2 linked regions of the Drosophila melanogaster genome follow. The gene in region 1 interacts genetically with each later gene. Each region holds a gene or a part of one and is shown in the gene's direction. Other genes may lie near its edges. The genes, in order: ord and Incenp.

Region 1 (6,593 bases):
CCGCATATCCTCGCCCTCAAGGACCCTCCATTCGAAGCGGAGTTTTGCGGCACGTTGAGGTGAAGCATTCCGGGATCGCAGCCTAAGCCTCGCCAGCTGCTCACGAATCCGGATGTCCTCCGCCGAGGCACAAAACATAAGCTACTGGCACGGAAACGCAGGATCGCAAGAGGCGCCTTTAAGATACCTTTAACAAAGCGATTGTCTTAAACGAGGACCACAATAAATCTTTGTTCATTTTTAGATAGTTTGTTTATCCATATGATGCTAACTAAGAAATACGTATTATCTTTATATAATATAGCTACAAATGGATCTGATATGTAATGTACTCCCCAAGAAGGGAATCAATTGTAGATAATCACATGGCTTATCTACGCATGCTACCCAAAAGCGACAGTATACCTTTGCCAGGACAAAAGGACAAAGTACAGCAATCCGGAAATATGGCAAAGAAAATGGAACAATCGAAGTGAAAGGGTCGTGTGGAGTGGGAAACGAGGAACACAGGATCCAGTGAATGGAGCTGCGACATGAGTACATTTGTTTATGCGGAGCCCGAAAAGATGGAGCAACCACATCCCCAGCTTGCTCCTCCTCCGCCTCCTCCTTCTCCCAGAGGACTCCTCCGGCTGGCAAGCGTTGAAATGGAACAAATGAACTAAGTCGAGAATTGCCAACTGCACACTTGAGTCGCACAACGAAGTAAACCCACAAAAGGAGCAGCCCGAACAAATGATTTCACAAGAAAAGTTAAACTTGTAAATTCAAATTTCACATTTGTCTGGAATTCGCAATTACACTTTGGCAACAACAATGAAATATGTCCGCCTGGCACATCGCTACACCTGCCCAAAAATCGCTGGATTCAGCATTCCCCCCTCTAATCCAGCATCCATCCAGCCCAATCTTCACGGCTCATTGTTTGGCCTGGCAAATGGAGCATGGTTGTGGCGGAGCACGCGGGTAGCGGGAAGAGCCCAGTTGCCTCCTAAAGCATATTGTAATAATCCAAATGAAATTAAATGTACCGTAAACATTTCGAATTGCGATTGCTTCAAGGATCTGGCATTCCGCAGCAACAACATGCTACAACTGTGAGCTGGGATTGAGCGACTATAAGATACCCTACATTTGCTAAATCAAAATAAAATCAATACGTATATTAAAGTATATATTGATACGATGGCTATTGTTGTAAGTATTTGCTATATATTGAAACCAAGCTAGAGCTAGGATAAAATAACTTGCAGAGCCAAGAATGCTGAGCTACTTCATACCCTGTACAATCACGAACAATGTCAGGTGCAAGCGGTGCTCCCACGGGCGAGCCAATAAAAATGTCGGTAATTGCAGATGCGAAACATGGCCAGAATCCGGATTGGGAATGTAGCAATAGAATGAAGGGGTTAGGCTGCGAGAGAGGGGTTCCACATTAGCTGGCTGGATGTTGAATGCAAGTAGTGCAATTATGTGCGGGTTCTTTAAAAATATTTTAAAATCTACATGCCCAATCTCACGGAGTAAGCCAGAAATGTCTCGAAACGAACTTCAAAATGTATACAAAAATTTATACTCTTCTGGGGACTTTGTAATGTTTAAAGTTAACTTAGGCTTTCGAACTGATGATATATTGAAAATTCCTCAATAAACTGCCATCAAATTAGCCTGCTCAACAACCCGCCATCATCATCATCATCATCATCACTCGCAAACATTGCAAATTACCACCCACCGCCACGTAAATCACCATAACCATATTTCAATCGCTTCACTGCGATCTGAATCCCCCAGCGATTTGTGCAACTATTCAATTGGCCCGACTGGATGGCAAGGAGGCATTAAATTAACGAAATCAGGCAGGTAAAAATAAGGAAAACGATCGACTTTAAGTAAAAGCCGGCCGCCAAATTGCACATTTTACAAGTTTACGAACCACTAAGCGGAGCCAGCAGAATCGCCTTTTTGGCGAATTTATTTCTAAAACAACTCTATCGCGATCACCTGGCGACGCAGAGCGGCCCATAAAGCCAACGATTTATTGGCCAAGTCGGCAACAATTTGACAAGCAAATTGCTATAATTTCTGGACATTGCAAGTGGAGGGAATTCCCCAGTCCCCTCGATCCGCGATTCTTCTCCAAGAATGCTGTGTGGACATGAGCAGCGCTCTTTTCGCGCTTTTATCTGCGCAAATTTATGCTGGCGATAAAGCCACAACGACTACTGGACTGGATCCTCTACTCTCGAAAGGAAGAGCCCAGGTCGGAGGAGGAATCACGTGGCCCAAGGCTGGTAATCTAATTGCATGGCCATTCGGATGGATCGGCGCTGTCTGCTGGAATTGCAATAATTTCGCTGGCTTTACGAGCTGCCATGGAATCCCCGAGTCTCCACATTTCCCCAGCGACCACACATACATCAGAACATCGGAATCAGAATTGTCGAGTGCACAAAAGTTTTTGGCGATCACTTGGACTATTAAATCGCAATTAAATTCGTGACGTGTGGTCCCCACGGTTCGTAAATCCCAGGGAAGAAAATGCTGAAATGGCAATCATCATTAAAAATGCAAAAGGCATAAAATTGGCCAGAAAGAAGCCCAGAAATATAAATGATTTCCTTGGGCCTCATCAAAGGCGGGGCGATAAGGAAGTATTCTCCTTTTCGTTCGAGTCGTAAAATATCCGACGAAAACTACGACGACAGCGTCATAAAAATTAAAAGAAAATCACAATCTTGGTTTATTTCTGTCGCCTTTGTTTGCCGTTTGCTCAAATTTAATATCATTCCGTACTGTCCAACGAAATAAGCCTCTTTGAAAAGTGACCAGGACGGAGTTTCGTACTAATTGTTGCTCAGTGCGTGCATTTGGGAATTACGACAGTTGGGCTTTTGATGGCACTTAGAAAGCCGTTAATCCTAATTTTATGCATCCAGTCTGTTGGCCTGGCCAAGCCAATTTAATGGCTCACTTCCCATGGCTCATAATAATGTTGATTCCTTGCTGATTCATAAATATGCGTTAGGCGGGGAAAAAGGGCATACAAATGGATGGGGAGCAACATATTAGTGGACTGGGACCAGCTGGATGGTCATGGTTTTATTTTCTAGGGTTTGAAACAAGCTAAATTTTTCGAAATCAACTATCAGTTTAAATCCACTTACAAGAATTGCTAAAATTTCAAAAGCCCGTTTTGACTTCTGTGGGACATTTTATAGCACTAACTTTCTGAGTCGATTTAATCGAGCGTCGATAACTTAGCGTCATCAAGGAATTTTAGAGCACTTACCTTCACTGAAGTAAGCGAAAAAGTTGTTAAGTTATCGAATGACTGAAAAAATTTATGAAAAATGTACGGAGAAACTACGCTAAATAAAAACCACGTCATTAAATTTATCAAAGTGAGTTGTATTCATATTGAGAACAGAAAGCACGTATTAAATGTATATGATTGTTTAGTTGAAAATTAACAACTGCTTGGGCTGCGATGAAGTGGAGATAAACTTCTCGAAAGCGGACAATGTACACATTATCATCTACAGTTTGGTCACGGATATGGCAAAGGACCTACCGGCTGTAACGCCCGTGGCCCAGGCCATCCTACTCCTCTGCTCCCTGACCTATCCGGATTCAGATAGCCTTGAAACGATTCCGCAGCTGAAAATTGGCAAGGGAAGTGTCTCGATGAGCTTCAAAGTGTATCCCGTGAATAAGGAAGAGGAGACGGAGCCAGAGTCGGAGAGCGACCTGGATGAGGGACCGTCCACCTCGAAACAGGCCCTGGAGCGAATGGTGCAGCGAGCGGAGCGCAAGGCCAAGGAGGCGTCCACAAGGAACGTACATTCCAAAGGCATCTATGTGAACGTAGAGCGAAGATTCGATATGTACTTCGCCCTGGACACCGTTTCATATTATATAAACGGCGGCAAACGCCAATCGTGCCCCCTCCCGGAGTTCCACGCCAAGTTCTTTGTGCGGCCCCAGCACTCGATCAATCTTCTGAGGCAGCTGCACGAGAAATGCTCCGGGAACTGGCTAAAGGTCATCCAAAGCGACGGCGATGGAGACGCCTTCAAAAAGTTCAAGTAGGTCGAGCCACTCCGTAAGTATTCCCATTTATTGAGGACTAACCAACATGTTTGCTGCAGAGACCCCGACAGCCCGTTCGAGACCTTTGTAAAGCTGTTCGAAAGTAACCCGATCAAACCAAACGATATGATGGGCAAGTTGGCCAAAACATGCCTGCACGTCAACGAGGCAGTGCGTCTGACGGAGCGAGAATTCATACTGGAGGTCTTCAACCAGGTGCGCCACATATTCGAGTACATCACGGCCCAGGAGTACACAGTGTGGTTTCTGGTACCTTGCCTTGGTGACAAAGACCAGCTGCGTTCCAAGGTGAGCACATCTAATTGCAGTGGGTTCTTAAGTTATTGAGCCTATATCTATATCCACTAGACCCTCGAAGACTTTGATTTGACCAAAGTGCGAACGTCTATTCGTCGAGCCGGTGATACTTCCAACATTTGGTGGGATCATACTGATCACAACATCAAGGACATTCTATTGGTGGCCTTCCAATTGGACCTGGCCACCCATGTCAATCAGTCGGTTCTTGTTATTAGCCATTTGGAAACGGTTTGTACAATGAAAAGTTGATTTAGAGCTCAAGTCAAAGGATTGTAAATTGTATTTCCTTAAACAGCTGGCGGAGTTTTCCACTATGCAATATGTGACGGCCTTTTTTATGAACGACTTCTACGCCAAGAAAAACACGGAACCAGTAAGTTGCCTCACTAAATAATATTAATATTAATATTTATTATTTGGCCTTAGAAATGGATCTGCCACCGCTATTTGGAGCGCATCATTGATGTGGCCTTGTTCCTGGGCGTCATCGTCATCATCGAATACCCAAGTGCCTTCACTCTGTTGCAGGAGGGTCGCCACTTGATCAAGTGCTTCCAAAAGGAAAATGCTGACTCCTCCAGAACCTCCCAATGGGAAATATTCGAAGATGTGGTCAAGGAGAACGAGTCCGACCTCGAGTTTCTCAAGGAGGCCGTGGGCAAAGTCCAGCAGAACGTATAGTCTTCAAAGGAATACACTAGGTGCGTCATATTATTGCAAAAACTTGGCACATACCCAAACCAACTGACTTGCGTGCAATTTCAGCTTCGCCTCGAACAAATTGCATTTATCTGCCGTCTGCGGCTTTCACACGCAAATATTTCCATGTTCATTTTCTAATTACGCCACAGCTCACGGTCCAACTTCACTCCGGCTGCAAACCCATTCTTCAGCTCCATTTCAATTAGGGTTTTGCCGGCTGTCAGTTGTTCGAGTGCCACTGGCGGAGCAGCCGAGGGTCCTTGCACCACCATCTGCACCACCATCTACCCCGACCCACAGACAGCAACTACAATGGCTGTCAGACGAGAAGCACGCGTCATTTGCCGGCGAAATGCATTTGCGCTAACCAAGACCATTTTTAGCCAAAATCACCCGGTGACCCAGTTGCAAAGCCAAGAGCCCGGAGATACATCCTGATGGAATGCTGACTGACTGGCGGACGGACTTGAGTGATTGGCGGTTACTGGGGCAATTATTTTGGACGCTGATGGGGTACATCATTCATTTGAAAACACAATCTTTAGTTATACATTCTATTTTTTTTTTTATACAAGAACACAAGCGAGGCGAAGATTTTCCTATCCTATGGCATTATTAATCTATTACACCATTTACATAATCATATGGAGAAATGTATATGTATATTTCATCCTCATTTATTCTTTCTAAATTCTGTTATATCATAAGTTCAAGGTTTATAAATAAGCAGATAATAAATGAATGTTCTTTCCTTCCAATTGTGGGAATACTTAAGATCTATTGTAGATGTGGGCCATCAGTAAATGCATATTATTATATTTGTTATCTGGCCACAGATTTTGTTTACGTTGGATGCCACATTTCGCACCTCGTGCACGACCTCGAGAAGATCGCACGCCGGCCTGGCTGCCAAGGGGCCGGATGTTACTACTGAAAGTTATTAAATGAGATTTCAAGACAGCCGGCGTATCATTTATTGGATTATATCAATGAAAACATGTTACAAATTGAAATCGCTTTATGGCCACTTCAGTATCGGACCTTAGGCAAGGTCACCAGGTTTGTCCTTCAAATCACGTGGTGTGGGTATTTCGTCACCAGAGGGCGCAAAACTCTTTTCCGAGCAGTGCTGATCACCACCCAATTGACGAGGGTTGTCTGCAATTGCTCCTCTTCGTGGTGAGGTGGCGCGCTGCTTGGTGACGCTCGCATCCGAAAGATTGGGCCGCTTCTTCTTGAACTTTGTTTTTTCATCTTTTAAGTAATCTATGTTGTAGCACCAACCGCAGACCTGACCCTGGATTATGATTTCATTCTTCCTCCGCTTGGCGAAGTGCACCATGAACTCTTTGGGATCGACGACCTCATGGTTCAACAGGGTGCAGAAGCGTGGCCTGGACTTTTCCGGCTTACCGGGATCGTTGGCCATCTGCAACGGATCAATATTTTATTCCACTTTTCACTGATTTGAAAAGGTT
Region 2 (5,636 bases), about 16 Mb from region 1:
TACCGCCAGGTTGCACATGTCGCAGAAAAGTATCACGTTGGTGTTTTGGCACTCGCCGTCGAGGCAAATGCAGCAGACTGCGTCGTCGTCCACCTCGACGCCTGTGGGTGTGCCGTTGGCCGCCGCCTGGAAGTGCGACTCCTTCTCCAGCCGGTCCATCAGCAGCTCCATCGTGTCGATGCCCACGGCGTTCAGGCCGAGTCGCTGGCGCTCCTCGTTCATGTGCTCCAGCCAGGCGGAGTCCTCCTCGTCAACGTCGTACTCCACCTCCCCGTCCAGCTCCTCCAGGGACTTTTCGATGAAGCGATAGTAGGCCAGCGGCCGTGGCGGGGCGTCGGACACTCGGTAGTCCGGAATCTCGGCCACCCTGGCCACGGGCACCTGGACCCTTGCCCAGGGCGCGTTCTCCTCCAGCGGTGGTGCGTCGGCATTCAGAATACAGCCCCTGGCCACTAGGGCGGCGAACTCTTCGTCCTCTACGAGCGGCAAGGCGTCGTCGATGCCCAGGCGCACGCTCTTCCCGTCCAAGTTAAACGTCACCGTGGCCTCCTCCTCGTTGTAGGACACCAGTGACTCTGGATTGGCGTACTGCCGGGCGCTGACTCCGCTCGCCGATCCACCTCCTGCGCTGGCCGAGGAGCAGCCGTTTCTGGCCTCAGCTCCACCGCCACCCGGCGTGGGGTGATCCTTGTGCGGACGAGGCGTGGAGTGGTGGCCGCCGGAGCGTGAGCGCGCCTTCTTGCGGCTCGGAGTCAGCACGGGCGTGAGCGGCTGTGGGTTGTCGTGGTCGTACTTCATAAGATGGTATTGCAGACCCATGATGGTCTTGTAGCTGCGGTCGCAGCCGCGGACGGGACAGGCGAAAGGCGGCTGGGACTGCTGGGTCTTCACCCCTTTGCAGTATTCCACTGCGTCGAAGTCGAGGCCCATGATCTGGATCTGCGGCGCGATCTGTGGATCTGCTGCAGCTGGCTTCTCGGGGTTTGGCGGTTCGCTGGTCGCGGATCGCGGGCACTGTGTCTACTCCGCGGCACGGCTGCGCATACGTATGTGCATCCCACGGTGGTCGTCGCAGAGCGCGCGGTTTTGGCTGTCCACCGTTCCTGGTCGATTTTCGTTGGCTTGTTGCAAATTTTTTAACAAATGTGCTAGAGATGGGCTTGCTGGTCAGCTCGCCATGGCGATACTATCGTCGGAAGTGCTTGTGCAGCACTGGACGTTTGCTGAAACTTGTTTGAAATATTTCCGGTCCTTTACGCAAATTAATTCTCTTCCGTAATCTATATTTATAATTTAAATGTTCCTTTTTGTTCTTTCCCTTACCATTTTCCCTCAAATTTGTTTACAATATGTTTTTTGGGGAGCCGTGCAGCACTGCTTTCTAGAGATGGTAGTGGCGGGAACGTATTGGAACTGGTTCACCTAATGTTATACTTTCAAAATTTACAGGGCTAGAAATCCAGTACGTAACTATTTAAATAACCCAATAATATTATTTTAAAGAATTCAAATAAATATCTCCCAATATTCACTCAAAAAACAAGTTTTGGTTGTGTTTTTCATTTTGCGCGGGAACTTTATCGCCCGTGCAGTGTTGGAAAGCAGAGGCATAAATGCGCCTTACAGCACCCGACGAGCTGTTAACTGTCAACAGTGCACAATTAAAGGCATGTTATCAAATGCTGACGCGCGTCGCAATTGCCGCCATTTGAAAAAAACGATAAAATCGAAGGAACCGAATCCGGATTTGCAGTTTGTCAGATACAGTCGCTAGATATGGAGGACATCTTGGGCGTGCTGGGCTCGCTTTCGGACCTGCGCAGGGAGCTCGAGGTCCTGCGCAAGGTAAGCCAGGATCAGGAGACGAAATTCCGACACTGTCAACATGGCGTCATATGTGTTTTTTAGGCCCACTTTGAGGAGCTGGACCACCTCTTCTACGGCACAGGCCAGCCGGAGGCGGAGGCCAAACCGAGGGACAGTGCTCCGGCAGCGAAGAGTCAGGAGAACTCTTCGGTGACGCCGCAGCAAACGAAAAAGCGCCCCAAGCGACTCACCTCACTGGCCGAGGATCAGAATGAGCCCGAGGGTGAGTATCCTGGCCATTTTAAAGCATTAACGACCAACAACCCCTGTGATATTCCATTTGAGCAGCTCCAGACGCCACGGCCAACAACACGTCGGCCCGTCAAAGCACTCGGGTCAGCAACTCCCAGTTGCTGGCTATCGCCGAGGACGAGCACAACTCCACGGCCTCGCTGATGCCGCCTCCGCCTGTGCCCGTCTCGGCGGACACCACCCTCGGCTCCGGAAGGCCACAGCGAGCCGCTAAGCTGAAGACCGAGAAATTACTCAAGGAGCCCTCACTCAACCGTAAGATGCGGCGGCCCAGCAGCGAGGAGCTCGTAAAGGTCAAGGTTGAGAGCGAGCAGCGAGTCTCCCAGTTTAACAGCTTCACCAGTGCACAGGCGTTAGAGGAAAATAAACTAGCGGAGCCGGAACTAGAAGAGCCAGCAGCAGAAACAGCTGAGCAGCAAAAGCCTCCGGAGGAGGCCTCAGTCACAGAGGACGTGAACACCACGAAGACACTCCGCGTGAAGGTAAAGCGCGAGAAACTCAGTACCGAAGCAGTGCCCCCGTTAACCAATGCGGTCTCCACGGCAAATGTGACCACCGTCTCCTCTGTAACAACGGAGGCAGCGCGACCGGACGATACGGTGGCCAGCAACACGACGACATCCACGGAGGTCTCCAAGAAGGTCCGCAAGAAGAAGAAGGACGTGGAAAGCCACCGACCCATAAAGGTGGAACGATTCAGCGACCTGGACAAGAGCTCGCCAGTCTCGTCGCGCACGCGCAAGTGTAGCAGCGATTCGCGAACGGTTCAGGAGCGATCCATATACAAGGATGCACTCGAAGATCCGCCCGTTGCAGAGCAATCAGTGGCTGCAGTTGCTCCGGCTGCTGTCAATGAGACCGTGGCGATTTCCAACGCCACCCTCGTACTGGGTCCTGCGCCGACGAGCGATAGTCCAATAGGACCAGCTGGAGATGCCACTTTTGAGGTGCACTCCAACGACAAGAAACAACCTCTGAGTAAGCAGGACAGCCTCTTAACGGAGGACGAGTCGGTGGAGGAGAAGCTGCCGACGACCAAGCTGCTCTCGAGCATAAAGGCTATAAAACTGCCTACCCGTACACATGAGCTTTTCAAGTGAGTAGATACCCTGCCTCTTCATGCATGTTATCCTTCTAAACAATCTTTGCACTTCTACAGCCCACTGCTTCAGAGTCCAGTGAAAATGCGCGTGGAGGCGTTCGAGAATGCGGCAAACGCACAGAACAGCATGCGCCCTAAGCGGGGAAAAGATCTGGTAGGTACAGTATAGTTGCACATATATAGCAGGCAGATAGCAGGCAGAATTAGGCTAGACTATTCACCAGTTCTGTATCAATTGGCGCTTTCTAGAACTGTTTGATAGGTGATTCATTTATTGTTATTTTTTTTTACTCTTCAGCAGGGCACGCCAGGATCAAACAACACTCCCAAAATTGGCAAGCTGCCTGCTCCGACTGTTGGTCGCTTTTTCACACCGACTCAAACGACAAGCACACTACCATTAAGCTCGGCGCAGCCCAAGAAGGGACCTGCCAGCGCGTCTAAGGCCACTAGTCTGCTGAAGACGGCCACCGGTACGAACCTAAGGTCGGTCAATTCCACGTCCACAAAAACGCTGTCGCGCGAGAACAGCGGAGACGACTTCCGCAAGGGCCTGCACAATCTGGCGGAGGAGCGCAAGAAGCTGCGTGAGCAAAAGCACCAGCAGGCTGCCCAGCAGCGCGAAGCCAAGGAGCGGGAGCGGGCAGAGCGTATGGCCAAGCTGGCCGCCGAGCGCGCCAAGAAGCAGGAGGAGCGAAAGCGAATTGAAGAGCGCAAACGACAAGAGCTGGAGGAGCTGCAGCGGAAGATGCGCCAGCAAGAGGAAGCCGAGGCGCTCAAGAAGGCCAAGTTCAAGGAGCTGGAGCAGCAGAAACTGCAGCAGCTAACCGGCGCCAAGCCCAAGAAGATGCTTCCGCCGCCGCCGAAAACCAAGTACACCTGGGAGATGCTGCACGAAGACGACTCGACAGACGACGAGGGAAAGGTCACCCACAAGCGTCCCCCAGCGCCCACCTGGAGTCGAAGTAAGTTTGTGGATCATTTCGAAGAGTTATTTTCGAGATACCTTATTCATCGTAAATATATACAAGTAAATACACCAGATTACAGTCTGATTTCCATTGGGACTACTAAAGGAAATGTTCTTAAATATAGATTCTGACTTATGTGTTTATTTTCAGGCCACGTAAGGGGAGAGGCAATTGCTATGCAGAGCCACTGCCCAACCGACATCATCGACAGCTTTTTCTCGGTGGCGCCCACCACACCGGACCTAAAGCAGATATTCCCGAACATCGATCCCAGCCAGCTGAAGCGAAACTCCAGCGTGCTGTGGTCCACGCCGCCGCGCTATTCCGAGCTGCCGAAATACTAGCCAAGTAGTCCTGCTCTCTTCTCCCGTAAATGCACATGTTTATGATCGAATAAATAAAGTTAATTGTGAAAATTAAAGCGGAGTACCGCTGCGCGATTCACTGCGACTCTGACACTAATATCCAGCTGCTTTAGAACTATTAAAGCCGCCAGCGTGCTCAATTAATGGTTCGCTGGTGGCTGCTTGCCGATTCCATTAGCCAAGTTGCCCAACAATGGATACGTCGATTCGTGAAAAGTGTGAAAACGCAGAGGAGGCAAGTAAACGAAATAAAAGAAAACAAGCCCGGCAAACACAATTTCACTGGTCATGGGGCATGGTTTTGTGGCATGATGCGCAGACGATCGAAAAGACTGCCTCGATTCGATTCTCCTCCATCATGTTTCCATTGCTGCTAATCCCACTTTTCCAACGAGCCATTCTCATTTTCAATCGAAAGCCGAAATCAGCGGAATCGGCATGGGCAATTGGCACAGTAATTGCTGCTGATTAGAGTCGACTCCATGTGGAAGTCGCCGCGGATCCACCCATGAATATGATTCGATGGGACCATCTTAATCCGCAATCTAATTAAGGCGCGTACGCTCCCCAAATTGCCACTTTCAATTGTTACTGTTTCCGTTTAAGTGCACTCTGTTAGTAGCTCCACTTCCCCACGGACCCAAGTCGATTGGGGCTGAATCTATGTGAATTCCATGTGGCACATTGGATACTCTATCAAAAACTGTAAGGAAAGATAGTAACACATCTAAATGAATAAGCTCTAAAATTCCATCAAATGCCACTTTTGTGATCCATCAGTTTGCAATTCTTTAGAACTTTTGAAAGACCAACTTTTAGATTTTCCCATGTTGGTCTTCCACCTGATATTACAGCCTAACAGAGTTGCCATCAGCATGCCAAGTAAAAGAAACTTTTTGCAAAATACAGCATTTGCAGCTCCAAATCAAAAACCTATTTTGAAGAATCGAACTGAAGACTGGCTGCGTAGTCTTCCACTCGCGGGCACTCTTCCGAAGAGCGGCCAAGCGAGTTGCGGTTTCTCGTTTCTTCGGCTCTGCGCGAAGTCTTCGTGCTTCGCACGAGTCAGTTTGAGTCGAG

What was found.
Region 2: of ord (region 1) and Incenp, changing one enhances a phenotype caused by changing the other (phenotypic enhancement), as found in Drosophila melanogaster (one study listed by BioGRID).

What each region holds. Positions count from the first base shown.
Region 1 is NT_033778.4:23,270,535-23,277,127, reverse strand, and holds ord (orientation disruptor), read left to right. Parts: upstream 1-1,591; 5' UTR 1,592-3,353; coding exon 3,354-3,404; intron 3,405-3,462; coding exon 3,463-4,088; intron 4,089-4,151; coding exon 4,152-4,401; intron 4,402-4,461; coding exon 4,462-4,641; intron 4,642-4,708; coding exon 4,709-4,786; intron 4,787-4,839; coding exon 4,840-5,094; 3' UTR 5,095-5,114; intron 5,115-5,178; 3' UTR 5,179-5,871; downstream 5,872-6,593. Other genes in the region: CG13540 (uncharacterized protein), read right to left, coding at 6,158-6,544. UniProt on the Drosophila melanogaster protein: Essential for proper maintenance of sister-chromatid cohesion in both male and female meiosis. Mutations in ord cause premature separation of the sister chromatids in meiosis I and random segregation in both meiotic divisions.
Region 2 is NT_033778.4:7,276,953-7,282,588, forward strand, and holds Incenp (inner centromere protein), read left to right. Parts: upstream 1-1,653; 5' UTR 1,654-1,776; coding exon 1,777-1,845; intron 1,846-1,908; coding exon 1,909-2,089; intron 2,090-2,154; coding exon 2,155-3,214; intron 3,215-3,277; coding exon 3,278-3,374; intron 3,375-3,518; coding exon 3,519-4,185; intron 4,186-4,341; coding exon 4,342-4,535; 3' UTR 4,536-4,843; downstream 4,844-5,636. Other genes in the region: Br140 (Bromodomain-containing protein, 140kD), read right to left, coding at 1-930.